Anolis sagrei: one gene and its partners. The protein of the gene in region 4 purifies or fractionates together with the protein of the main gene of each other region. This does not show direct contact. Links are inferred from orthologs where the notes say so. Each region holds a gene or a part of one and is shown on either strand. Other genes may lie near its edges.

Region 1 (6,918 bases), on a different chromosome or scaffold from region 4:
TATTACTTGAAAGACAATAATATACCTTTATAATTTTATATAAAATATATTGTTATAGATATATTCATTACAATATTATATACACACACACACACACACACATAATATATATAATATTATGTGTGTGTGTGTATTATATATACATACATAATATTATAATAATTATATATATATATATATATTATTACTTGAAACACAAAAAGATTAGTACACAGTAAACAAGGCTGTCGTATTGGATCACACATCGGACAGTTCCCAAGTGTCTAATTTATATTATTATTATTATTATTATTATTATTATTATTATTGCTATTGTTATTATTATTATTTTACTGACAAAAAATACCCTATGTCACAGCAAATGAGAGATATATATATTCTGGATTTCCCCCCCCACAACTGATACATCCTTGTTTTTGGTAGCTACACTTATTATTATTATTATTAACCTATCTTTGCATTAGTACACAGCAAACAAGGCTGTCACATTGGATCACACATCGGACACTTCCCAAGTGTCTAATTTATATTAGTATTATTGTTATTATTATTATTATTATTATTATTATTATTATTGTTATTTTTGTTATTTTACCGACACAATAACACCATATGTCCAGCAAAGGAGATATATATGCTGGATTTTTCCCCCCACAATTGATACATCCTTTTTTGGGTAGTTACACATTATTATTATTAGTATAATAATAATAATAATAATAATCCTAACTTTGCAATGGTTTCCAGTGGAGAAATTGGGAATAAACAACAGGAAGAATAAAAAAGCCAAAGTAGATTTTTCCCCCCACAATTGATACATCCTTGTTTTTGGTAGCTACACTTATTATTATTATTATTATTATTATTATTAACCTATTTTTGCAATGGTTTCCAATGGAGAAATCTGGAATAAACAACAGGGTATTTTCTTTCCTTTGCTGCATTTTGCAAAATTTGAAAGGGATCAGTCCAGATCTTTTGGATTTTAGAACCCACAACAAGGCATATTGAGGTATATAGCTAAATAATAATAATAATAATAATAATAATAATAATAATAATAATAATACTTTACCTTTGCCATGCTTGCTTGCATTCCTTGCAAATGCTTTGCCTGGGAGTTTGCTTTGTTGCTTGCTTGCTTTGCTTTGCTTTGCTTCCTCCTTCCTCCAAGGATCCAAGGCTGGAAGAGAAAGGAAACACACCTTTATTTCTTCTTCTCCTCTCCTCTTCTTTTTTTCCTCCTCCTCCTTTTTTGGTTTTCCTTTCTTTCCTACAGGGACATCTACAGGGCTGGAGGACTCATGGCAGGAGAATATTGCAAATCCTATCCTCCATCTGAATGGGAAACAAGTGTCTGAAATGGAAAATAATTAAAAAATAATACTAAAAAAATTACAAATGAATGCTATTCCTACTATTATTGTTTTATAAGGTATCATTATAAAATATATTATTATATTTATATAGTTATAATAAAATATAATAACAATATTGGTAATATATTTGTGTATTTATAATGTAATATTACTATCAATATATTTATATATTTATATATCAATAATATAAAATATATTTATTTATTTATTTACCTTACTTGTAATTATTCATATTGTTTGATAATGATATATTTTATATTATATTATTGATATATAAATATATTGATAATATATTTATATTATTGGGTATTTATATTATTCATATATTATTATATTATATATAATATATTATATAATATATTGTTATAATATATTACATATATTATAATAATGTAATAATATTAATATATTATATTATAAATAATATAATAATATTAATATATTTGTGTATTTATAATGTAATATTATTATCAATATATTTATATATCAATAATATAAAATATATTTATTTATTTATTTACCTTACTTATAATTATTCATATTGTTTGATAATGATATATTTTATATTATATTATTGATATATAAATATATTGATAATAATATTACATTATAAATACACAAATATATTAATAATATTATATTATTTATAATATAATATATTAATATTATTACATTATTTATAATATAATAATATTAATATATTTGTGTATTTATAATATATTATTATTATTAATAATATATTTCTATATCAATAATATGAAATATATAATTATCAAATAATATGAATAATATAAATACACAAATATATTAATATTAATATATTATTTATAATATAATATTAATATTAATATATTATTTATAATATAATATAATAATATTAATATATTATTTATAATATAATATAATAATATTAATATATTTGTGTATTTATAATGTAATATTATTATCAATATATTTATATATCAATAATATAAATTATATCATTATCAAACAATATGAATAATATAAATACACAAATATGTGTATTTATATTATTCATATTGTTTGATAATTATATATTTTATATTGTTAATGTATAAATATATTATTAAAAATAATATTACATTATAAATACACAAATATATTAATATTATTATATTACATTATAAATAATATAATAATATAAATATATTTATGTATTTGTATTATTGATATTATTTGATAATGATATATTTTATATTATTGATATAGAAATATATTGATAGTAATATTAAATTATAAATACACAAATATATTAATGTTATTATATTATAAATAAAATATAATAATATAAATATATTTGTGTATTTATATTATTCATATTATTTGATAATTATATACTTTATATTGTTATTATATAAATAAATTATTTATAATATTATTACATTATAAATACACAAATATATTAATATTAATATATTATATTATTAATATCATATAATATAATAATATTAATATATTTGTGTAAAATATATTATTAAATATAAATATACTAACATTACATTTTGTTATTATTATTATTATTATTATTATTATTATTATTATGTATATTTACAGTATACAGGATTTCAGCCCAGGAGAGATTCGAACTCGCAACCTTTCTCTTCTCTCTCTCTCTAACTCTCTCTAACTGATTCTAGTCTATGGTTGCCGGAGTGACAGCCATTGAACGTGTTAGGCCACGCCCCTTTCCGAACGCTCCAATTGGGAGCCAAGTCGTTGGCGGGGGGGAGAGAGAGAGAGAGAGAGAGAGAGAGCAACGTGTTGTACGCATGCGCACTCAGCCTTGCGAAAGGGGGAGAGAGAGAACAACGTGTTCTACACATGCGCGCTCAGTCTTGCCAAAGAGGGAGCGAGAGCGTGTTCTACGCACGCGCGCTCAGCCTTTCGAAAGGGGAATAGAGCGGGCAACGTGTTCTACGCATGCGCGCTCAGCCTTGCCAAGGAGAGAGAAGTGTTCTACGCATGCGCGCTCAGCCTTGCCAAGGAGAGAGAGCAATGTGTTCTACGCATGCGCGCTCAGCATTGCCAAAGAGGGAGAAAGAGCGTGTTCTACGCACGCGCGCTCAGCCTTTCGAAAGGGGATAGAGCGAGCAACGTGTTCTACGCATGCGCGCTCAGCCTTGCCAAAGAGGGAGATAGAGCAACGTGTTGTACGCATGCGCGCTCAGCCTTGCCAAGGAGAGAGAAAGTGTTCTATGCATGCGCGCTTAGCCTTGCCTAGGAGAAAGTGTTCTACGCATGCGCGCTCAGCCTTGCCAAAGAGGGAGAGATAACAACGTGTTCTACGCATGCGCGCTCAGCCTTGCCAAGGAGAGAGAGAAAAGTGTTCTACGCATGCGTGGTCAGCTTTGCCAAAGGAAGAGAGAGCAACATGTACGCATGCGCACTCAGCCTTCCCAAGGAGAGAGAGAAAAGTGTTCTACGCATGCGCGCTCAGCCTTGCCAAGGAGAGAGAAAAAAGTGTCGTACGCATGCGCACTCAACCTTGCCAAAGAGGAGAGGATGGGCTGCGTGGCGAACTGCGCATGCGCCGCAACGGTCATTTCGCACGGCCTTCCAAAATGGCCGCCGAGTGGGTTTCAGAGTCCGCACAAACACGGTTAGGCACGGCTCTAGGCCTCTCCCCGCCGCCCCACGCCTATTTAAAGCCCCGGAGGCCCTTCCTTTTCCCCGGCAGCCTTTGCGGGACGGAAGGGGGGCCTCTCTTCTCCCTCAGCCGCCATGGAAGGCTTCCTCGAGGGCTGCAAGGCCGCGCTGCAGGTATTGGGTGCAGGACTCAGGGGAGCAAGGGGGCCAGGCCTCAGGTAGGGCCTACCTTTGGAATGGGCACATACACACACATATACAAATACAGAGTGTGCATATATATATATATACACACACACACATATGTATACAGCAGGCATGGGCAAACTTTGGCCTTCCAGGTGTTTTGGATTTCCAACTCCCACAATTCCCAGCATCCTACCGACTCGTAGGAATTATGGAAGTCCAAAACCTATAGGGCCGAGGTTTGCCCATGCCTCCTATATAGGATACATGTGTACACATGTAGTTTACATATATGTACATACTGTATAGTTTATATGTACACATCAGTGTATGTAGTGAATTGTTGTTGTTCATTCGTTCAGTCGTCTCCGACCCTTCGTGACCTCATGGACCATTCCACGCCAGAGCTCCCTGTCGGCCGTCACCACCCCCAGCTCCTTCAAGGTCAGTCCAGTCACTTCAAGGATGCCATCCATCCATCTTGTCCTTGGTCGGCCCCTCTTCCTTTTGCCTTCCACTTTCCCCAGCATCATTGTCTTCTCTAGGCTTTGCTGTCTTCTCATGATGTGGCCAAAGGACTTCAACTTTGTCTCTAGTCTCCTTCCCTCCAATGAGCAGTCGGGCTTTATTTCCTGGAGGATGGACTGGTTGGATCTTCTCGCAGTCCATGTAGTGAATACACACATATATAGCATACATATACACACATGTATATAAGGCACAGTGTGAATACACATAAGTGTAGACATGTATATAGTGTACATAAATACATATGTTTATAGAGCACACATATACTGTGTATGCACACATACATTTATATAGTTGTGTATATATATACACACAAACGTATATAGGGCACACGTATACTGTACCTATGCACACATGTATATAATGTATATATACACACACGGCACACGTATATAGTTTATGTATATGTATACACATAATTTGCATATATGTACACACGTGTATACATAACACATACATCAGTGTATATAGTGTATACACATATATAGCATACAGGTACACATGTATATAGGGCACACTGTACACATGTATGTGGGGTACACATATGGTGTGCATCCACATGTATATAGTGTACATATATACATATGCATATAGGGCACACATATACTGTGTGTATGCACACTATATGTGTACCCCATATACATGTGTACAGTGTGCCCCCCCTCTCTATATATAGTGTGTATGTGTGTGTATATATATACCCACACACATTAATTGTGTGTATCCACACATACATGTATATAGTGCATATACACACATATAGGGTGCAAATTGTGCATATACATATATGTATATAGTATAGATACATAAACACGCATGTATATAGGGCACATATATAGTGTGTATACACATATACATACATGTATATAGGGCACACATATGGTATGTGTATGCACCTATATGTATATAGAGTGCGCATATCCACCCCCTACGATTTGGAAATATGTATGCCAGTGGTCAAAATGATGGGCATAATAGTTTAATAATATCTGGACAGCCATAGGGTGCCCATTATTATAACAAGACAGACAGAATAGTATTTACTAAAACATATAGAGCATGGATCTGGGTCTACATTGTAAATCAAATATTGTCTTACCCTAAGAATGAGCTGTTGTTTTGCAGAACTTAATAAACATAACATAAAAGTTATATTTTCTCTATCAATTGTAATAATTATCATTGAAAAGAACAAATGTTCTTTCTGTCTAAGCACTTTACGTTTGAGAGATAATATAGTTGTTAAGCCCCTCCAGGGCTCTGTACTTTTTTCAGACTTCACCATAGTATCCTTGTTTGGAGGCGTCTCTGTTTTTAAATATTTCCCTGCCCTTGTTTTAAATGGCCAGCATTCCACCCCAGAGGCATAAGTAATAGTTCTAAGAGCTGGAGGCTAACATGCACTGGTATTTTTAGTCTCACCCATCCCTGGAATGTGGCTCCTGATAACTTCTCTGGGATTGGATTCATTCCTTTGGCCAAAAGAAAGTCCCCACCCTTGAACCTCAAGACAAAGTCTTTGCTCTTGGCTCAAACAACATGGAAATGCATTTCGGCTGGTTATTTTCTGTTCTTCTAGCTACCTCTGTTTCTTTTGAATGGTTTGTTGTTGTTGGTTTGGATTTTCTTGTGGTTGTGTGCCTTCAAGTTATTCCTGACATTTAGTACTTATTTAGGTGATCCCTCATTGTCTTCCAAGATCGGTGTTCTGGCGGTGGGTTCTCCTGGCATGTTTCTCTCTTTCGCCCTCCATTCGTGCCTCTTCAAATTCTACAGCACTGCTGGTCACAGCTGACCTCTAGCTGGAGTGCTCAAGGGCTGGGGCTTCCCAGTTCTCAGTGTCTATGCCAGTTTTTAAGGTTGGCTTTGAGCCCATCTGTAAATCTATTTTCCTGCCCACCAACATTCCCTTTTCTTGAGTAGAGCAACTGCTTTGGGAGATGGCGGTCGGGAGATAGGGTGATCTATCATAATAATAATAATAATAATAATAATAATAATAATAATGTTTTGAATCACAACAAGATGAGTCCACAGCAGACACTCTGCTAGCTGTTATATTGGATTATTATTATTGTTATTATTATTATGCACAACAAAATTAGTACACAGCAAACAAGATCGCTCTGCTGTCTGTTGTATTGGATTATTATTATTATTATTATTATTATTATTATTATGTACACAACAAAATTAGTACATAGCAAACACAATCACT
Region 2 (7,088 bases), on a different chromosome or scaffold from region 4:
TGAGTATCTTAGTGCTCCTGTTGACATCTGGCAACATCCTCAGAGTTACTTTTAAAACAATCTCTCATATTTTGGCTACAATTTTGCAGTGGTTCCCAACCTATGGTCCTTGGACCACCAGTGGTCCACAAGAACTAAAATATGGTCCATGGCCTCACCGTTACTACACTGTTGCAATGAAAGCGACTGGTCTCATGAAATCCTCTTATAGTGCTGAGGCTTATTAATTATAGTTTTCTGTGGGCAAGCAGATGGCCATTACTGGATGGTATGTTCTGTATCAGAAACTAGAGTAGATGTGGTCTATCCAATGCAGTTTTCTGAATCAGCACCCCAAATAACCAAACAAGATCTAAAGTTGACCACAAACTGGTTCGTAACCCTTTTGGTGCTAATGTTGTAGAGTGGTCCCTGGTCAAAGTGGTCTCCGGTCAAAGTGGTCCTTGGTCAAAAAAAGATTGGGAACCACTGGTTTCAAGGAACTGTTGGAGCCAAATTTCCAGGGAGCAGAACTTGGAAACCTTTTCCAGACATTTCCCACTAGGTATAATTGTTTGTCTCTTCTCCTTTCCAACATAGGATTCAAGGGAGCTACCAACAAGATTAAGACACATACAACATTGTCTATCATATTAAAACATCAGTTTAATTCAAAACAGTAAGTCATTTTTAAAAATAACAACAAAGAGGTGTTTAATGAGACCCAACCCATTAAAATGAACTCTTCCGCTCCGCAAAATGAGTTGATCATCAAAAGACTTTTTGAAGAAAGAGTCATTTTAAAAACACACAAACAAAACAGGCGTATTTGACATTCACAGAATCACCACCTGGCATTGCCAAAGTTGGAGCACCCAGTGGCACAATTGGTTAAATCTGTGCAGGAGTGCTGACCAATATATGTCAGCAGTTCGGATCTGAGGAGAATGGGTTGAGCTCCCTCTGTCAGCTCCAGCTCCCCATTCGGGGACGTGAGAGGAACCTCCCACAAGGATGGTCAAAGTGGTCAAAGTGGTCAAGTGGTCCCTGGTAAAAAAAAGGTTGGGAACTGTACTATACTGAACTATTTTCCACCCCTTTGAACTACCATAGTGCCGCTGAACCCCTTCTCCCCACAATCATTTAGTTCCTGGCTCAGCCCAATATAAAATAGATGAAATATGTACTCTCAACCTTGTTGGATGCCTTCAAGGCATTTCTGACTTATGGTGACCCCAAGGTGAACCTCTCATGGAGTTCATTTGGCAAGATCTGTTTGGAGGCCTTGCTGTTGATTAAATATCCATCTGGGTGGCAAGTCCTTTATTGCTATTCAAATATCCCTATCCATTTCTCATGTAGCTCCTATGTCAATAGTAATCCAATGTAGAGAAGGCTGCGAGTCTCTGGACTGTCTTCTGAATAAACATGCATAGGTTCAGATGCACCCAGATATTTCGGATTTTTGAGGTTGCACTCATCCATCAATTTCATATTATTCTGCCATTCTTTCATATATTCCCCCTCAGAAAAAGAAGTATCTAACAGCAAAAATTACTTTGGAATCTATCCAGGACAGACAAGAAGTTGCATGTGCTTGCATAATTTTTATTTAAAATAGATATTTTTCAAATATTTATTTTTTTAATAACCCAGCGTTCAGTCCACAATAAAACTATGTTCTTTATAGCCTGGAATGTGCCCGTGGTTTGTTGGACTCCCATGTCATTTGCATGCATGGGTAATGAAAAGACAATGGGACCTTACAAATCTGTGGAATTTGTGCTAATGTCTTAAGCCATGTCTGGAGTAATAAGCAATTACGTCCACATTTTGGGTGTGCTTTTAATGAGTCTATTGTCAGTTGCACAAAAGGACTGGTTGGCTGCGAGATGACCTCAACTTGCAAGCTGGAATTTGCACCAAATGTAAACCTTTTCCCTGCGATTGTTTGTTAGAAGCGGGGGGGGGGGGGGGGCAGCTTCAATACCTGGTGGATTGGGCGGGGAATTCATTGTAATGAGTTTCTTTTTCATTTTTCCTCTCTCCTCCTCTGATCCAGGGATAGCTATTTGCTATGCCATATACCCACCCACCCACTTATCCGCCCATTCAGAGTCATTTGAATGACAGAACCATATTCCACTACCAGTGGCTCGTCTAATTTGCTACAATAGCTGCGGTATGTGTGGTGCTGACATGAGAACGGGACCTTTGGTCTCCTCCACTGTAGGATGCCAACACTCTTCTCATGCCATATGCAGGCTAAAGTTTTGATACAGAATTAAGACAATAGAGTCTTCTCTTCTCACTGTTCAAAGAAGTTGCGTGCCTAATCCTCATTAATATTGTTTGGATTTGCATGTTAAAGCCTGAGGGTGCATGGATGGACAGATAGACACATACACACATAAACATTGTACTCAACCTCCTTTTTAGATCTTGTTCCCTCCCCCCCCCCCCCCCCGACTTTGTATATGCTTCCATATCAACTTATTCTCTTCTTTAGTCCACCGTTATTTATGTGTTGGTTTGATTGTTGCATCAACCATGTTGGTCATGGCATAGCTTTCCTTTTCAGAGGCATTTCTTTGTGAGTTGAGACTCACCACTAGAATACTGTCATGAATGAAAGGTTTCAATGTATTGTCGAAGGCTTTCATGGCCGGAATCACTGGGTTGTTGTAGGGTTTTTTTTGGGCTATATAGCCATGTTCTAGAGGCATTCTCTCCTGACGCTTCGCCTGCATCTATGGCAAGCATCCTCAGAGGTATTGAGGTCTGTTGGAACTAGGAAAGTGGGTTTATATATCTGTTGAATGACCAGGGTGGGACAAAGGACTTCTTTGCGGATGGTGTAAATTCTCTCTCGTAAAAGGTTGCGTTCCAGGCGGTCATAGATCCGGTGAGCTGGTGGTGTTTTGAAAGTCCTTTTGGCTGCGATAAATTGTGGGATGGTATCTGTGTCTCTGCAGCGTAGAAAGAAAGTCACCAGATCTATGACCTCCTGGAACACAACCTCTTACAAGAGAGAATTCACACCATCCGCAAATAAGTTCTTTGTCCCACCCTGGTCATTCCACAGATATATAAACCCACTTTCCTAGTTCCAACAGACCTCACTACCTCTGAGGATGCTTGCCATAGATCAGTGGTTCTCAACGTGTGGGTCCCCAGGTGATTTGGCCTACAACTCCCAGAAATCCCAGCCAGTTTAACAGCTGTTAGGATTTCTGGGAGGTGAAGGACAAAACATCTGGGGACCCACAGATTGAGAACCACTGCCATAGATGCAGGCAAAACATCAGGAGAGAATGCCTCTAGAACATGGCCATATAGCCCGAAAAAACCTACAACAACCCAGTGATTCCGGCCATGAAAGCCTTCAACAATACATTGAAGATCTCTACGGAGAGAAACTGTTCCAAGACACACGAAAATTGGAAAAACTAAGGACCAGGAAAGCACATCTACAGTGTTCCCTGACTTTCCTTCTATGCTGCAGAGACACAGATACCATCCCACAATTTCTTGCAGCCAAAAGGACTTTCAGAACACCACAGGCTCACCGGATCTATGACTGCCTGGAACGCAACCTCTTACGAGAGAGAATTCACACCATCCGCAAAGAAGTTCTTTGTCCCACCCTGGTCATTCCATAGATATATAAACCCACTTTCCTAGTTCCAACAGACCTCAATACCTCTGAGGATGCTTGCCATAGATGCAGGCGAAACATCAGGAGAGAATGCCTCTAGAACATGGCCATATAGCCCGAAAAAACCTACAACAACCCAGTGAAAGGTTTCAACCTAGGCACATGGGAAGAAGACAGTCGATGCTCCTAAATGTGTCGCGAGTGCCTTTCCCTTACTACAGAACATCTGTGGAACATCTTTAAATCCACATTTCTCAAGGTTGAAGAACATATGGCTTCAGAGAAATGGAAAACCTGTGATCTTATTTGTAAAAAATATACTTTGATTCATGTACATAAGAAAAAAAACACTGGGTGTTCTTGAGAGGAAGAAAGAGAGGGAGTGTGAGGAACTCATGTGTTTCTTTTCCCCATGTTTCCTTTATTTCAGGACACGTATGAAGGAGGAGCAGTAAGGCATCCTCTCAGAACCAAGGCAAAGAATGCACCTTTCCATCCATATCCCTCCAAACAATGACCTGTAAGTATCAGATATATTTCTTTTCTGAAAACTAATAAAAATTAAAACAATCCAGAGCCAGGCAAATATGTGGATTTGTGCAGTTCGCACATTTCCTTCCTTTTGTTGGACGGTGTCTACACACCAGTATCTTGCAAATCTGTTGATCCAACTTTCTTAAGAGTTCCTTACATTTGCAACAATGCTATTTTTCCATTGATTTTAGGGTGGTAGACTTTTAGTATTTCAGTTGATGTGGACTGCCAACTCCCATAGCCCTTTATTGCTATGGTGGTTGGCCTGATTGAAGTTATAGGCCAAAATATCCGGAAGGCTATACTTTTTCCATCCCTGGTTTATATTCAGGTTGTGTGGCAAAATTTATTATTATTTATTTATTTGCTACATTTGTATACCACCCCTCTCAGCCTGCAGGCGACTCAGGGGGGTTTACAGTCAACATCAAGACATAAGAATACAATAAAAAACAATTAAGATGATATAAAACATGATAAAATCCATAAAAATATGTGGTTTTGTCTCCCAATAAGTGAACTCTGAGATGAGGAAATTGAGTACAGACAGTGGGTTGTTATAGGGTTTTTCGGGCTATATGGCTATGGTCTAGAGGCATTCTCTCCTGACGTTTCACCTGCATCTATGGCAAGCATCGTCAGAGGTAGTAAGGATACTTGCCATAGATGCAGGCGAAATGTCAGGAGAGAATGCCTCTAGACCATGGTCATATAGCCTGAAAAACCCACCCAACAACATAGTGATTCCGGCCATAAAAGCCTTCGACAATACATTGAGTACAGACACCTTGCTGTGTGCAGTCAATGTTGGATTCTCACCAAATCCAATTGTGACGTTGCTGGCATGTTTACTTAAGCCTAAACAATGTGTAACCTACTAAACTGGGCATGGCTCACTAGCCACATAGTCTAACTTTTCAGGTGTTTGACAATCTCCCCATGCTCTAATTCGAGATAAGAAAGCCATTTTTTAAAAAAAAATGAGTGGAAGAGGAGGGAATAATCCTTGATGTGATTTTTTGAGAGGTGATAATGGTGCCAACCTCTTGGCTACGAAGCAATATCTAGGATGGCACAAAATATGAAAGAATTAATTATGGTGTCGCACTAGTTGTCCAGGCTTGCCTGAAACTCACTGTGAAGATAGGAACAAGGTAGGCACTTTCTACACTGCCATATAATCTCGATTATCAAAGTGGACAATCCACATTATCTGCGTTGAACTGGATTATATGAATCTACACTGTCATATAATCCACTTCAAAGCAGATAATCTGGATTTTATATAGCAGAGTGATTATCCCAGGAATTATAATTTCCCTCCTAGTCATTGATGGTGTAGACATGTGCAGATGTTAAGTGGTGAAGTTGGAAAGATGAATTGAGGAGATTGGTCCAGTTAACTTGTGGTGGTGCGTCTTCACATAGTTTCTGATTTATGGTGGCCCCAAGGCATTGCCAGGGGTTGGATTAGGTTGTTGTCTCTTCCAGCTCTATGGTGGTATTTATCACTAGACTTTCTTGTAAAGAGATATTCAGAAGATGTTTACCTTTGCCTTCTTCTGGGGTTGTATGACTTGCTACTATTATCATTATTGCTGCCAATGACAAAAAGAGGAGGGAGGAAGTACTCACATGCTCCCGTGGCTCTTATAAAGCTGATCCATAAACATTAAGAGGTGCTAATGCATATCTCCATGCTGTGAAAAGCATTATCACCTCCTGATGTCTACAGAGCACCTTAATGGGAAAAGGAGAAGAGGACTAGCCACAATCAACCCAGCAAGCTAAATATGCTCCTGTAAAAATTGATCCTCTGCTCATAATTTGTATGGTTTTGTCCTTGTACAAATGGTGTTAAAATTCTCATCTCATATATCATCCTAACTAATCTGTTCTAAGGTTTATTAACTACCTCTATAATAAGTTGATGTGCCGAAATCTGAATATTGTTTTTTTCATGTGTTGAAGAGGAACAATTTCACATGTGAAAAGATACACAAGGGTACTTCAATGGCTCTGATGTTAGTTGGAGGGGGGATGGATCCACACTGGTTTAGGCTGAGCTTTAGAGGAGTTATCCAAGGTGCTGGACTTATTTTGGGGAGGGAAATGCTTCAGTGTCTCAGAAAGTGATAGCATTTAAATTAAAACTGATTCATTGGTTCATCCACTGCCACCTGCAGCCAGTGTCTCAAGCAGTGGTTCCCAACCTGTGATCTGTGGACCACCAGCGATCCACAAGAACTAAAATATGGTCCGTGGCCTCATTGTTACCTACACTATTGCAACAAGAGCAACGGGTCTTGTGAAACCCTCTTACAGTGCCCAGGCTTATTAAATATGGGTTGTTGTAGGTTTTTTCGGGCTATGTGGCCATGGTCTAGAGGCATTCTCTCCTGATGTTTTGCCTGCATCTATGGCAAGCATCCTCAGAGGTAGTGAGGTCTGTTGGAACTAGGAAAAAGGGTTTATATATCTGTGGAATAACCAGGGTGAGACAAAGGACTCTTGTCTGCTGGAGCTAGGTGTGAATGTTTCAACTGACCACCTTGATTAGCATATAATGGCCTGACAGTGCCTAGAGCAAACTTTTGTTGAGAGGTGATTAGATGTCCCTGTTTGTTTCCTCTCTGTTGTTATGCTGTTGTAATTTTAGAGTTTTTTTTAATACTGGTAGCCAGATTTTGTTCATTTTCATGGTTTCCTCCTTTCTGTTGAAATTGTCCACATGCTTGTGTATTTCAGTGGCTTCTCTGTGTAGTCTGACATGGTAGTTGTGAGAGTGGTCCAGCATTTCTGTGTTCTCAAATAAAATGCTGTGTCCAGGTTGGTTCATCAAATTTTTAAATATGGTTTTCTGTGGGCAAGCCGATGGTGACTACTGGATGGCATATGTTCTGTAGCAGAAACTAGA
Region 3 (7,933 bases), on a different chromosome or scaffold from region 4:
GGCACACAGAAGACTGGGCGACTTGTAAGACGCTGAATAGACTGCGCTCTGGCACCACGAGATGCAGAGCCAACCTTAAGAAATGGGGCTACAGTGGAATCCACGACATGTGAGTGTGGAGAAGAGCAAACCACTGACCACCAACTGCAATGCAACCTGAGCCTTGCGACATGCACAATGGAGGACCTTCTTGTGGCAACACCAGAGGAACTCCAAGTGGTCAAACGACATTTAATAGAATACCACGTCTATAAAGTTTGTGTTTTGTTTGTTTGCTTGTTTTTTAATGCAATACACCTGTCTTGGTTCGCTCCATCTGTCAGGGGTGATTTGCATGCAATATTCCTGCTTCTTGGCAGGGGGTTGGACTGGATGGCCCATGAGGTCTCTTCCAACTCTTTGATTCTATGATTCTATCCTGTTAAGAATTGTGGGAGTTGTAGTCCAAAACACCTGAAGGGCCAAGGTTTGCCCATGCCTGTTCTAATGAGATCTCCAATTGGGCTGGCAAACAGTGAGACAAATGAGCCAAAGATATGAAAGAAAACATGACCCTTTGAAGTGACAGAAGGGAAGCCGGGGAAAGGGGCAAAGGCGCACTCACCCACTTATCCAGGGGCACCTGTGCCAAGGAGCCAGTCCCTTGGTAGAGATCCAGCGTGAGCTGCTCCAGACTCAGCTTCTCTTGGAGGAAGTGGCCCAAGTACCTCTGCAGCAGGTACCGGCAGGCCCTCTTCTTGATGGATTCGGAGAAGGGCCAAGGCATGGTGGCGACAAGGCAAGGCAATGCCGGCTGTGAGGGAAACTAAACGGGGCAAGGCTTGAAGGGAGACAGGTAGGCCTCCCCGACTCAATTCCCTGGAGGTGCCAAAGGCTAAGGAGGAAGGAGCGCCTCCATTCCGCCTCCTCCTCCTCCTCCTTCTCTCTCTTCACGCCGCCTCCGCCATCTTCCCCCTCTGAGAGGAGGAAAGGGGCGTGGCTTAGAAGCTCGCCAGGCCACGCCTCCTCGCTGTCTTGCCCAGCTTCAAGGATTCTTGTTCTCTCCGCGCAGAAAAAAGCCCGGCTGCCACTCTTGTTGTTGTTGTTGTTCTGGCCTCCGCTTGGCGCCTCCTTCTGGCGTCACGCGCCCGGCTGTGACGTCACGCGCAAGCCGGCAAAGGTCGCCGCCGAGGGAGAAAAGAAGGGAGAAAGTCATGTGCTTCTGGTAGAACGTAGAGGTGGAGCTGTCGAAACAGTGCGTTGTGCCCTCGAATTCCGGCTTCCAGCGAGCTTACCTGAATGGGCTTATGTAGATAGATATCTCCTAAGCTTGGGCAATCCATGGTTCTAAATGGTTCTAAAGTACTTACAAAACTAAAGTTCTGGTGGTGAAAATTTCAGAACTCTAACAAAACTCTCAAAATTTCATAATAAATGGCAGTTCCTAATTAGTTCTGTCATTAAAATCACCAATAATGAAATAATAATTAAATTTTGAAAGTTTTGTTAGAGTTCTGAAATTTTCACCACCAGAACTTTAGTTTTGTAAGTACTTTAGAACCATTTAGAACCATGGATTGCCCAAGCCTAATATCTACATAAAAACTCCAACCATCACCCAAGTCAAAAAAGAAGCACCATTAAAACCTTGGCAGACCGTGCAAAAAGAATCTGCGAACCCCACCTCCTCCAAGATGAACTGAACCACCTCAACTGAGCTCTACAGGCCAATGTTATTATTATTATTATTAAACTTTATTTGTACCCCGCTAGCATCTCCCGAAGGACTCGATGTGGCTTACATAGGCCAAGGCCTCAAAACACAACATAACAATACAACACTTAAAGCAAATTAAAAACAGTTAAGCATTGCAATATTAATAACAAGCAATAAACAATACATCAAGGCACAATGGACGACTCCGGCCCAATTTACCTGTCCGAATGTATCCTCCCCTATGAGCCATCAAGTTTACTAAGATCGTCTGGAGGGGCCCTGCTCTCGATCCCACCAGCCTCACAGGTACGGCTGGTGGGGACGAGAGACAGGGCCTTCTCGGTGGTGGCCCCTTGACTCTGGAACTCCCTTCCACTGGAGATTAGAACTGCCCCTTCGATCTTAACGTTCAGGAAACAGGTGAAAACCTGGCTTTGGGGATTGGCATTCAACGAATGAGCCATGATCCTGTGATATGGATGGAGGACGACGAATAATGACTTTGATGACGACTGACCACTGTAATCATATGATTGTATTTTTGCCATTTTAATTGTTTCAATGTTTTAATGTTTTAGTGTGATTTAGAAATATGATGTTTTAATGACGGTCTGTAATATTGATGTTGGAAACCAGCCCGAGTCCCTCAAATGGAGGTGAGAAGACCGGTATACAAAACTACCAAATAAATAAATAAGATGGATACTCCACCTCAGACATCAGAAGAGCTGCAAGACCAAGAACAAGCCACTAGAGTAAAGACAAAGATCCACCCCGAGGAAAAGTGTTCTTGCCATACATCAAGGGAACCACTGACCGCATAGGGAAGCTGATGAGGAAACAAAACATACAAACTATCTACAGACCTACCAAGGAAATCTAACAAATGCTTCGTTCAGCAAAGGACAAGAGGGATCCTCTCGCTTCTGCAGGAGTCTACTGTGTACCATGCAGCTGTGGACAAGTCTACATAGGGACTACCAAATGCAGCATTGCCCAAACACGAATCAAGGAACATGAAAGGCACTGCAGACTACTTCAACCAGAGAAGTCAGCCATAGCAGAGCACCTGATGAACCAACCTGGACACAGCATTTTATTTGAGAACGCAGAAATGCTGGACCACTCTCACAACCACCATGTCAGACTACACAGAGATGCCACTGAAATCCACAAGCATGTGGACAATTTCAATAGAAAGGAGGAAACCATGAAAATGAACAAAATCTGGCTACCAGAATTTAAAAAACGTCTAAAATCCTAACAACATTCAAAACAGGGGAACTCTAGACATGAAACAATCAGGGACACCTAATCACCTCTAAACAAAGGACTCCCCCAGGCAGTAAGAAGCCAGACCTTGAAAACTGCTAGGCCATTAAATCCTAATCAAGGCGGCCAATTGCAACATTCACACCTGTCTCCAACAGACCGGAGTTCTTTCTCCCACCCTGGACATTCTACAGATATATAAACCCCATTTTCCTAGATGACAACGTCGTCTGTGCGCATTCAGAAGAAGACCTACAAGCCACTCTAAACACCTTCACAGAAGTGTACGAGAAGCTCGGCTTCTCACTGAACATAGAGAAAAACAAAGTGCTCTTCCAGCAGTCATCAGTCAACCAATCTGCAATGCTAGAGATACAGCTTAATGGTGTAACATTAGAAAATGTCAACCATTTCCACCACTTTGGCAGCCATCTCTCCACAAAAGTCAACATTGACACTGAAATACAACACTGCCTGAGCAATGCGAGTGCAGCATGTTTCCAAATGAAGCAGAGAGTGTTTGAGGACTGGACATCCACAGGGATACCAAGGTGCTTGTTTATAAAGCTATTGTCCTCCCAACCCTGCTATACGCCTGCGAGACGTGGACTGTCTACAGACGTAACATGCAACTCCTAGAACGATTCCATCAATGTTGCATCCAAAGAGTTCTACAAATCTCTTGGGAAAACAAGCGGACAAATGTCAGCGTGTTGGAAGAAGCAAAGACCACCAGCATTGAAGCGATGGTCCTCCAACATCAACCTCGCTGGACCGACCACATTGTCCAGATGCCCGACCACCATCTCCCAAAGCAGTTGCTCTACTCCAAACTCAAGAACAGAAAACAGAATGTTGGTGGGCAGGAAAAGACATTTAAAGATGGGCTCAAAGCCAACCTTAAAAACTCTGGCATAGACACTGAGAACGGAGAAGCTGTGGCCCTTGAGCGCTCCAGCTGGAGATCAGCTGTGACCAGCAGTGCTGTAAAATCTGAAGAGGTAGGAATTTTTTTTTTATTTATTTCAAAGTTTTCTATACCGATCTTCTCACCTCATTGAGGGACTCAACCCAGTTTCCAACCATAAAACACATACAATCAGTAAAATATCATAGTTCACAATTACAGTAACACATTTAAAATAACAATATATTTAAAACTACGGTGGTCAGTCGTCATATTAAAATCAAATATACATCATCATCCATCCAAAATCCATCCAAAATCCTAGGGTGTTGTCTCATTCATCGAAAGCCTGTCTCCACAACCACGTCTTCACCCGTTTCCTAAATGTCAGGATAGATGGGGTGGTTCTGACCTCCGGTGGGAGAGAGTTCCAGAGTCGCGGGGCCACCACCGAGAAGACCCTGTCCCTCGTCCCCACCAGACGCGCCTGTGCGGCCGGTGGGACCAAGAGCAGGGCCTCTCCAGACGATCTTAATAATCTTGATGGTTTGTAAGGGAGAATACGTTCAGAGAGGTAAACAGGGCCGGAGTCGTTTAGGGCTTTATAGGTTAACACCTGGAGGGCGAAAGAGAGAAACGTGCCAAGAGGAAGGTGCGTCAAGCCAACCCCAACCGGGACCACATTCCACTTGGAAACGAATGCCCTCACTGTGGGAGAACTTGCAGATCAAGACTCCATAGTCACCTACGGACATACCGCCAGTACACCGATCTTGGAAGACAATCCTACTCAGACAAGTAAGCAAAGTAGTTTCCAACAGACCTCACAAGCTCTGAGGATACCTGCCATAGGTGCAGGCGAAACGTCAGGAGTGAATGCTTTTGGAACATGACCATACAGCCCGAAAAACTTAAAGCAAATCAGTTTTGAATAGTTTTGTACAGACAGGTTTCTCCCTTCTTCTGGAACATAGCCGCTTGGGAGCCGGAAGACTCTTCACACGTCTCTCTGTCGGCGAGCCTAGAACTCTTTGACTAATGAATCACGTGACTGGGGCGAGCGGGAGGAGGGAAAAGAGAGCGGAAGAGGCGCCTCGCCTTCAGTCGCCTTGGACGGAGCCTGAGGGAAGGCGCCTTTTCCTTAGCTGTCTCTTTGGGAGTGGAAGAGAGGCCATAAATACTCGCTGGCCAGGAAAGGGATGCACTGGTGTGTAGGTACCTCGTGGCGAGAGCGGGATTGGGTACATCTAGACCAGGTATGGGCAAACCTGGGCCCTCCAGGTGTTTTGGACTTCAACTCCCACCATTCCTAACAGCCTCAGGCCCTTTCCTTTTCCCACTCAGCCGCTTAGCGGCTGAGTGGGAAAAGGAAAGGGCCTGAGGCTCTTAGGAATGGTGGGAGTTGAAGTCCAAAACACCTGGAGGGCCCAAGCTTGCCCATACCTGGTCTAGACTACAGTTAATGTAGTTTGACACCACTTTACTGCCTTGGCTCAATGTTATGGAATCCTGGGATTTGTAGTTTGGTGATACAACAGCACTCTCTGGCAGAGAAGGCTAAAGACCTCTTAAAACTTCAAGCCCTGCGATTGTATAATATTGAGGCAAGGAAGGTGACGTGATGTCAAGCTGCATTCATTTATAGGAGGCAATTGCGATTGGAGACCTTGATTGTTTATTGTTTATAACAGGGGTCCTCAAACTAAGGCCCGGGGGCTGGATACGGCCCTCCAAGGTCATTTACCCAGCCTTCGCTCAGGGTCAACTTAAGTCTGAAATGACTTGAAAGCACATAACAACAATGATATCTGAATGAAGACCTTGGTTGTTTATTGTCTATAACAGGGGTCTGCAAATGACAGGGGTCCGCAAATGACCTCCTAGGTCATTTACCCGGCCCTCGCTCAGGGTCAACCTAAGTCTGCAATGACTTGAAAGAACATAACAATAACAACAACGATATCAGCCAAAAGCAGGCCCACACTTCCCATTGACATACTAATAAGTTTATATTTGTTAAATTTGTTCTTCATTTTAATTATTGTATTGTTTATAAGTGCACTGCAAGTACGATATGTGCAGTGTGCATAGGAATCATTCATTTTCAAATTATAATCCGGCCCTCCAACAGTTTGAGGAACTGTGACCTGGCCCTCTCTTTAAAACGTTTGAGGACCCTTGTTTATAAGGAGATTTAGATTGGTCTGGCCCAGATTACCTGCCCAAATGTATCTCCTGTTACGAACCATTATGAATCTTAAGATCATCAGGAGAGGCCTTGCTTTCGATCCCACCACTTTCGCAAACGCGGTTGGTGGGGACAAGAGACAGGGCCATCTCGACAGTGGCCCCCCATCTGTGGAACTCTCTCCCTAAGGACATCAGGTTGGCCACCTCCCTCCTGTCCTTTAGAAGACAACTGAAGACTTGGCTTTGGGACTAGGCGTTCAATTAGTGGACAGCGGCAATTGGCAAGAAAACTTAGGATATCTGCAACATTGGATTTACCCTGATTTGGGCTTTGTTTTACTGACATGTTTATTGTTTAATGAATTTGTATAATGTGTTTTAATGATTTTTTGCTGTTTTAAAGGTAAATTTTGATTGTTTATATGCTGATAGCATCATATGATACTTATGTGAGGCCGCCCTGATTCCCCCTTTGGGGGGAGAAGGGCGGGGTAGAAATGCATGAAATAAATAATAAATTGTACAGCTGTTGAGATCTGAAGACACCTTCAAAAAGAGGAAGATAGTTAACGTGGGGCTGCCTTTGAAGACTGTTCAGAAGCTGCAAATGGTCCAACGGATGGTAGCCAGATTGCTCACCAGAGCAGCATACAGGGAGCATACAACCCCCTGTTACGTCAACTCCACAGGCTTCACTGGCTGCCAATCTGCTACTGAGCACAATTCAAAGTTCTGGCTTTATACTATAAATCTCTAAACAGTTCTGACTCAGCTTTTCTGTCTGAACGTATCTCCTTCAATGAACCACCATGGAGTTTAAGATCATCTGGGGAAGCCCTGCTCTCGGTCCCGTCTCCCTCACAGGCACGATTGGCGGAGACTAGAGATAGGGCCTTCTCAGTGGTGGCCCCTGGACTGTGGAACTCCCTGTTAGATCAGCCCCCTCCCTTCTGACCTGCAAAAGATTGAAAATGTGGCTTTGTGACCAAGCCTTTAAAGAACTTGTTCAATAAATGGAGTTGGATTTATGTGCAGTGACCATTGAAACAGCCCAGATTACTCTTGTGGGTTTATGTGTTCAACTCTTAATGTATTGTTTTTAAATGTTTTGTTTTAATGTACTTTTAAATTCTATTTTAATATTTATTTAAGTGTACATTGTGTTTTAGGGCCTCAAAGTGTTGCCTGTATATAAAGCTGCCTTGATTCTCCTCCAGGGTGAGAAAGACGGGGTAGAATGTCATAAATAAATAAACTTCTGGCTTCCTTTTCAATAGACGACCCATCCTGGGCATAAGCAAAAATAAAGTAAATAGGGAAAAAAGGATGACCCAAACAACTACCGTCCGGCCAGCCTCACGTCGATACCGGGCAAGATTCTGGAAAAGATTGTTAAGGAAGTGGTCTGCAAACACTTAGAAACAAATGCAGTCATCGCTAATAGTCAACATGGATTTATCAAAAACAAGTCATGTCAGACTAATCTGATCTCTTTTTTCGATAGAGCTACAAGCTGGGTAGATGCAGGGAATGCCGTGGATGTAGCGTACCTGGATTTCAGTAAGGCCTTCGACAAGGTCCCCCATGACCTTCTGGCAAGGAAACTTGTCCAATGTGGGCTAGGCAAAACTACGGTGAGGTGGATCTGTAATTGGTTAAGTGGACGAACACAGAGAGTGCTCACTAATGCTTCCTCTTCATCTTGGAAAGAAGTGACAAGTGGAGTGCCGCAGGGTTCCGTCCTGGGCCCGGTCCTGTTCAACATCTTTATTAATGACTTAGATGAAGGGCTAGAAGGCATGATCATCAAGTTTGCAGACGACACCAAATTGGGAGGGATAGCCAATAGTCCAGAGGACAGGAGCAGA
Region 4 (7,307 bases):
ATGCTTTGCTCTGCTTTGCTTTATGGCCTCATAAATCAGTTAATTTAGCCTCCCCACACTTTTAAGGTGGTACCTTATTTTCCTACTTGACAGATGCAACTGTCTTTCAGGTTGCAAAGGTCGACAACAGGCTACACACAATTGGTTGGAAACCCACTCCAACCCGGGCTGGCTTCGAACTCATGACCTTTTGGTCAGAGTGATCTTAATGCAGCTCTGACACTCAGCCAGCTGCACCACAATCCCAGTCTTCATATGTTGATGCCTTCATATATGCTTTTCTTAGCTGTGTTTTACAGAGGAATGGGACTGAGTTGCACCCGCCTCCAGCCGAAAGGGGAGGACGGGAATACATTATCATAACTTTAAGATCGTCCGGGGAGGCCCTTCTCTCGATCCCGCCTGCATCACAAACAGGGACGAGAGACAGGGCCTTCTCAGTGGTGGCCCCTCGGATATGGAACGCCCTTCCCGAGGACATTAGATCGGCCCCCTTAACATTTTGGAAAAAAGTCAAGACTTGGTTGTTTGAATAAGCATTTGAAAATGTAAGGTAAATGACATAGGAATTGGAACAACCGGATGATGAGATTGGACAAATAGGAGACGTAATTGATGTATGTTTTTTCTGTAAATATTTTTTATTATTTTATCATGGTTTAATACATTTGTTATACATTGTTTTACAGCAGATACATATTAATATACATGGAGGTCTCTTCCAACTCTAGGATTCTAGAAGGCATCTGCTACTCTGCTGCTGAGTACGCATACCAAGAGGGGAACACATATCACCTCGCTAAAACAGTGGATGTGGCTCTTTCTCATGATCTCCAGCTCATGCCATACAACTGACACAAACCACATGGCCATGGGACATTGGGCCAAAAGGAAATGCAGGACACTCAATTGCCCAAAGGCAAACTCCAGGTATTCTTGAGAGACACGGATTATCTGGATCCGGCACAGTCTGGCTTTAGGCCGGGGCATGGTACCGAGACAGCCTTGGTCGCCTTAGTGGATGATCTTCGCCGGGAGCTCGACAGGGGGAGTGTGTCCCTGTTAGTTCTGCTGGACCTCTCAGCGGCCTTCGATACCGTCGACCACGGTATCCTTCTGGGGCGTCTTGCGGAAATGGGTCTCGGAGGTACTGTTTTGCAGTGACTCCGGTCATTTCTGGAGGGTCGTTCCCAGAAGGTGTTATTGGGGGACACCTGTTCATCCCCACAACCATTGTCTTGTGGGGTTCCACAGGGCTCTATATTATCCCCCATGCTGTTTAACATCTACATGAAGCCGCTGGGAGAGATCATCCGGAGTTTCGGGGTGCGGTGTCACCTGTACGCGGATGATGTCCAACTCTGTCACTCCTTCCCACCTGCTACTAAGGAGGCTGTCGAGGTCCTGAACCGGTGCCTGGCCGCTGTGACGGTCTGGATGAGGGCGAACAAACTGAAACTAAATCCAGACAAGACAGAGGTACTCCTGGTCAGGCGAAAGGCCGAACAGGGTATAGGGTTACAACCTGTGTTGGACGGGGTTACACTCCCGCTGAAGATGCAGGTTCGCAGCTTGGGTGTGACCCTGGATTCATCGCTGAGCCTGGAGCTAATACTAATACTTCCTTCCTTGTATTGTCGAAGGCTTTCATGGCTGGAATCACTAGGTTCTTGTAGGTTTTTTCAGGCTGTATGGCCATGGTCTAGAGGCATTCTCTCCTGACGTTTCGCCTGCATCTATGGCAAGCATCCTCAGAGGGAGTGAGGTCTGTTGGAAATAGGACAATGAGTTTATATATCTGTGGAATGGCTGGGGTGGGGCAAAGAGCTCTTCTCTGCTGGAGCTAGGTGTGAATGTTTCAGCTGACCACCTTCATTAGCATTTGAAGGCCTGGCTGAGCCTGGGGGAATCTTTTGTTGAGAGGTGTTAAGATGTGCCTGGTTGTTTCCTCTCTGTTGTTTTGCTGTTGCAATTTTAGAGTTTTTTAATACTGGTAGCCAGATTTTGTTCATTGAACAAAACAACAGCAAAATAACAGAGAGGAAACAAACAAGGACATCTAACCACCTCTCAACAAAAGATTGCTCCAGGCACTGCCAGGAAATCAAATGCTGATCAAGGTGGTCAGTTGAAACATTCACACCTAGCTGCAGCAGAGAAGAGCTCTTTGCCCCACCCCAGCCATTCCACAGATATATAAACCCATTTTCCTACTTCCAACAGACCTCACAAGCTCTGAGGATGCTTGCCATAGATGCAGGCGAAACATCAGGAGAGAATGCCTCTAGAACATGGCCATACAGCCCGGAAAAACCCACAAGAACCCAGTTATTCCGGCCACGAAAGCCTTTGACAATACAGATTCAACCTTCTTCTGTTTTTTGTAAACAGTGGTGATTGTGAGAGTGGTCCAGCATGTAATCACCTCTCAACAAAAGATTGCCCCAGGCACTGCCAGGTGGTCAGTTGAAATATTCCCACCTAGCTTCAGCAGACAAGAGTCCTTTGTCCCATCCTGGTCTTTCCACAGATATATAAACCCAATTTTCCTATTTCCAAGAGACCTCACTAACTTTGAGGAGGTTTGCCATTGATGCAGGCGAAACGTCAGGAGAGAATGCCTCTAGAACATGGCCCTATAGCCCGGAAAAAAGTACAACAACTCAAGGACATCTAATCACCTCTCAACAAAAGATTCCCCCAGACACTTCCAAGCCATCAAATTGTAATCAAGGTGGTCAGTTGAAACATTCACCCCTAGCTCCAGCAGACAAGAGTCTTTTGTCCCACCCTGGTCATTCCACAGATATATAAACCCATTGTCCTATTTCCAACAGACCTCACAACCTCTGAGGATGCTTGCCATAGATGCAGGCGAAACGTCAGGAGAGAATGCCTCTAGAACATGGCCAAATAGCCCGAAAAAACCCACAAGAACCTACTTATTATTGATTGATTGATTGATTGATTGATTTACTTCCCTTGTATACTGCTCTTCTCAGCCCTCAGGCGACTCAGAGCGGTTAACAACGAATTCAGCAGCACAAAACAGATCATTACTCAATTAAGACAGCAATATCAATTAATTCACATCAAAACATCAATACAACAATACAACAAAATAGCAATCCATCACGTCTCATCAGTAGAATCAGCATCCACTCTCATTGTCCATTAATCCATATTCCAATAGGGATACTAATAGGTTCTTGTAGGTTTTTCCGGGCTATATGGCCATGTTCTGGAGGCAATTTTTCTCCTGACGTTTCGCCTGCATCTATGGCAAGCATCCCCAGAGGTAGTGAGGTCTGTTGGAAGTAGGAAAATGGGTTTATATATCGGTGGAATGACCAGGGTGGGGCAAAGGACTCTTGTCTGCTGGGGCTAGGTGTGAATGTTTCAGCTGACCACCTTCATTAGCATTTGAAGGCCTGGCTGAGCCTGGGAAAATCTTTTGTTGAGAGGTGTTAAGATGTACCTGGTTGTTTCCTCTCTGCTATTTTGCAACATTCACACCTAGCTCCAGCAGAGAAGAGCTCTTTGCCCCACCCCAGCCATTCCACAGATATATAAACCAATTTTCTTACTTCCAACAGACCTCACTACCTCTGAGGATGCTTGCCATAGATGCAGGCGAAACGTCAGGAGAGAGTGCCTCTAGAACATGGCCATACAGCCCGAAAAAACCCACAAGAACCTAGTGATTCCAGCCATGAAAGCCTTCGGCAATACAGGGATACTAATACTTCCTTCCTGCCTGCCTTTGGGCCCGGAGCATCCAAGAGGCTGATGGGAGCGGAGTCTCCTCCCTCTCTCTCCCGCGGGACTACACCTCCCAGCAGCCCTTTCGGGGGGGGGGGCGTCCCAACCCTCACACTTCCTGCCGCGAAGCACGACGGGAGACGTAGTTTCCGCCGCCGGGTCACGAGACTCTTTCCTCCTCCTGCCTCCTGCTGCTAAGGCTGGGCGCGGGGCATGCCGGGAGCAGCAGAGCAGGGCCCGCGGCCTCCCGTCGTGCCCCGCGGCGCCCAGGCCGCAGCCCGAGCTCGCTTGCCTTCCGCCCGGGAGGGCCCTCCGCCCACACCGCCGACATGGAGCAGCGCCGAGGCGGAGCGGGAGGAACAGGGGGAGAAACAGGAGGGGGGCCCGCCCGCGCCCCTGAAGGTAGGTCGGTCTGTCAGTGTGGGAGTCGTTGCCGCGCGGCGCAGTCTGGGAAGTGTAGTCGTGCCGGGCTCGGGGGAACTCATTTCGCTCCCGTCGTGCTTTGCGGCGCCTCGGGAGGGCGGCGCGGCGCCTTCTGGGAAGCGGAGTCCGGCTGCCGGCACTGGGGCGAGAGAGTGGAGGGGACTCCATTTCCCGTGGGGCCTCGCGGCGGTGGCGGCGGCGGTGGTGGTGGTGGTGGCGACGGCCTCTCTCTCTAGATAGGGAGCCAGGCTTCTCCTCCTCCTCCTCCTTCTCCGCGTCCCGGCCTCGCCATGAGCAGCGGCAGCGCGGGCGGCTCCTCCTCGCGGCCTAGAACCAGCTCCTTCGCCGACCCCTCCAACGCGCCCCCCGCCGCCGCCGTCGCCGCCCCCAACACCTCCGCCGCCCCCTCCTCCTCCGCCGCCTCGGCCCCCCCTCCCCCGCTGCCGCCCCCCGCAGGGAGCAAGGCCGCCGGGCCCGGGCCTGGAGGAGGGGGCGGAGGAGGGGGAGGGAGCTTGTCGTCGGGGGGCTCCTTCCCGGGACTCAAGCTCGGAAGTGAGTCTGCGCGGAGAGGGGGAAAGGGGGTCTCCAGGGTCGCACCCCCCTCCCTTCACTGTTCTGTCTCTATTCCTATTATGATGAGGATTATTATGATAGATACCTGGGCCTGGGTCTCTCGCGGTGACGTCACGGGGAGGTCATTGGACTGGGGAAGGGGTCTTGAGAATCCGGGTTCAGGTTAGGGGTTAGGGGGGTGGCCCACTAAGTAAGGGAAAGGGAGGAGGAGGATCTGGTTGCCTGGCAACCGCAGACGGGAGGGGCGTGGCCCAAGTGGGGGCACGGGTGGGTGGGGGCAAAGGTGAGCTGAGCAAGGCATCTCAGGGCAGACCTTGGCCAAGACCCCCCCACACACACCGAGGGGCACCCCAGTGGTCAAGGGAGTGGAGCACACAGGCTCCTCCTGGATGGCCATCTGTTGGGGGTGCTTTGAATGGGGGCTGGGGGTAGGGGTAGGGGTGGGTGGGGGTAAAGGTGAGCAAGGCATCTCAGTGCAGACCTAGGTCAAGACCCCCCCCCCCCCCACACACACACACACACCGAGGGGCACCCCAGTGGTCAAGGGAGTGGAGCACACAGGCTGCTCCTGGATGGCCATCTGTTGGGGGTGCTTTGAATGGGGGGTGGGGGTAGGGGTGGGTGGGGTCAAAGGTCAGCAGGACATCTCAGTGCAGACCTAGGCCAAGACCCCCCCCCCCAGACACCTCAGAGAAGCACCTCAGAGAAGCACCCCCCACACACACACCTCAGAGGGACAGTGGTCAAGGGAGTGGAGCACACAGGCTCCTCCTGGGTGGCCATCTGTTGGGGGTGCTTTGAATGGGGGGGTGGGGGTAGGAGTGGAGGGGGGTAAAGGTGAGCAAGGCATCTCAGGGCAGACCTAGGCCAAGACACCCCCCCCCCCCCCCCACACACACACACACGCACCTCAGAGGGACAGTGTTCACGGGAGTGGGTCACACAGGCTCCTCCTGGATGGCCATCTGTTGGGTGTGCTTTGAATGCAATTTTCAAAGGTGAGGAGGGCATCTCAGGGCAGACCTAGGCCAAGACCCCCCCACACACACCGAGGGACACCCCAGTGGTCAAGGGAGCAGGGCACACGGGCTCCCACTGGATGGCCATCTGTTGGGGGTGCTCTGAATGGGGGGTGGGGGTGGGGGTGGGTGGGGGCAAAGGTGAGCAAGGCATCTTGGTGCAGACCTAGGCCAAGAACCCCCCCCCCCCCCCCCACACACACAGATACCTCAGAGGGAGGTGACGAGGGGGCAGCCCAGGTGGGGGTGGGTGGGGGCAAAGGTGAGCAGGACATCTCAGTGCAGCCCCCCCCCCCCCCCCACACAGACACCTCAGAGAAGCACCCCAGTGGTCAAGGGGGCAGCCTAGGTGGGGGCGGGTTGGGGCAAAGGTGAGCAGCCCTAGGCCAAGACTCCCCCCCCCCCGACACCTCAGAGAAGCACCCCAGTGGTCAAGAGAGCGGGACACACAGGCTCCTCCTGGATGGTCATCTGTTGGAGGTGCTTTGAATGCCATTTTCACACGTGGGGGTAGGGGTGGGTGGGGGCAAAGGTGAGCAGGGCATCTCAGTACAGCCCTAGGCCAAGACCCTTCTCCACCACACACACACCTCAGAGCTCAGAGGGAGGTGCCGAGGGGGCAGCCCAGGTGGGGGTGGGTGGGGGCAAAGGTGAGCAAGGCATCTCAGGGCAGCCCTAGGTCAAGACCCCCCCCCCCACAGACACCTCAGAGAAGCACCCCAGTGGTCAAGGGAGTGGGTCACACGGGCTCCTCCTGGATGACCATCTATTTGGGGTGCTTTGAATGCCATTTTCAAAAGTGAGCAAGGCATCTCAGTGCAGCCCTAGGTCAAGACCCCCCCTCCACACACACACACACACCTCAGAGGGAGGTGCTGAGGGGCACCCCAGTGGTCAAGGGAGTGGGGCACACGGGCTCCCACTGGATGGCCATCTGTTGGGAGTGCTTTGAATGCCATTTTCAAAGGTAAGCAGGGCATCTTGGTGCCCCCCTCCTTGAGTGGGAAGTTCAGTCCTAGGCCGAGCCTCAGAGGGAGATGCCGAGGGTCACTCTCTCCTCCTGAGGGGCAGCAAGGGTGGTGGTCAAGGGGCAAAGCAGGAGGGACGCAAGCCCTCCTCCAGAGACCCCGGTCTAACCCTGGAGAGAACGGGCCAGGCAAGGCAAGGGGGCCGAGGCCAGGCCCCTGACACTCCTCTTCCTTCCTTCCTTCCTTCCTTCCTTCCTTCCTTCCTTCCTTCCTCCTTGCATTATTGATAATGTTGTGTACTTTATTGTTTATGTTTTTAATTGCTTGTATTATTATTATTGCTTGTATTGTTGTGTTTGGGCTCGGCCTCTTGTAAGCCGTACCGAGTCCCTTGGGGAAATGGTGGTAGCGGGGTACAAATAAAGTGTTGTTGTTATTATTATTATTATTGTTGTTGTTGTTGTGTTTGGGCTCGGCCTCATGTAAGCCGTACCGAGTCCCTTGGGGAAATGGTGGTAGCGGGGTACAAATAACGTGTTGTTATTATTGTTGTTGTTGTTGT

The links.
Region 1: the proteins of glycogen synthase kinase-3 beta-like (region 4) and PRUNE1 purify together in Homo sapiens (affinity purification with mass spectrometry; 3 studies listed by BioGRID and IntAct, with this or other methods). This does not show direct contact. The link is inferred for Anolis sagrei from reciprocal best matches to the Homo sapiens genes GSK3A and PRUNE1.
Region 2: the proteins of glycogen synthase kinase-3 beta-like (region 4) and AXIN2 purify together in Homo sapiens (affinity purification with mass spectrometry; 3 studies listed by BioGRID and IntAct, with this or other methods). This does not show direct contact. The link is inferred for Anolis sagrei from reciprocal best matches to the Homo sapiens genes GSK3A and AXIN2.
Region 3: the proteins of glycogen synthase kinase-3 beta-like (region 4) and GSKIP purify together in Homo sapiens (affinity purification with mass spectrometry; 7 studies listed by BioGRID and IntAct, with this or other methods). This does not show direct contact. The link is inferred for Anolis sagrei from reciprocal best matches to the Homo sapiens genes GSK3A and GSKIP.

Annotation. Positions count from the first base shown.
Region 1 is NC_090032.1:5,173,020-5,179,937, forward strand, and holds the start of PRUNE1 (exopolyphosphatase PRUNE1), read left to right. Parts: upstream 1-3,906; 5' UTR 3,907-4,121; coding exon 4,122-4,160; intron 4,161-6,918. UniProt on the Homo sapiens protein: Phosphodiesterase (PDE) that has higher activity toward cAMP than cGMP, as substrate. Plays a role in cell proliferation, migration and differentiation, and acts as a negative regulator of NME1. Plays a role in the regulation of neurogenesis.
Region 2 is NC_090022.1:181,787,819-181,794,906, forward strand, and holds the start of AXIN2 (axin-2), read left to right. Parts: upstream 1-4,081; 5' UTR 4,082-4,157; intron 4,158-7,088. UniProt on the Homo sapiens protein: Inhibitor of the Wnt signaling pathway. Down-regulates beta-catenin. Probably facilitate the phosphorylation of beta-catenin and APC by GSK3B.
Region 3 is NC_090021.1:318,912,080-318,920,012, forward strand, and holds the start of GSKIP (GSK3B-interacting protein), read left to right. Parts: upstream 1-4,912; 5' UTR 4,913-4,913; coding exon 4,914-5,086; intron 5,087-7,933. Other genes in the region: ATG2B (autophagy-related protein 2 homolog B), read right to left, coding at 605-766. UniProt on the Homo sapiens protein: A-kinase anchoring protein for GSK3B and PKA that regulates or facilitates their kinase activity towards their targets.
Region 4 is NC_090034.1:109,126,350-109,133,656, forward strand, and holds the start of glycogen synthase kinase-3 beta-like, read left to right. Parts: upstream 1-4,287; 5' UTR 4,288-4,475; coding exon 4,476-4,737; intron 4,738-7,307. UniProt on the Homo sapiens protein: Constitutively active protein kinase that acts as a negative regulator in the hormonal control of glucose homeostasis, Wnt signaling and regulation of transcription factors and microtubules, by phosphorylating and inactivating glycogen synthase (GYS1 or GYS2), CTNNB1/beta-catenin, APC and AXIN1.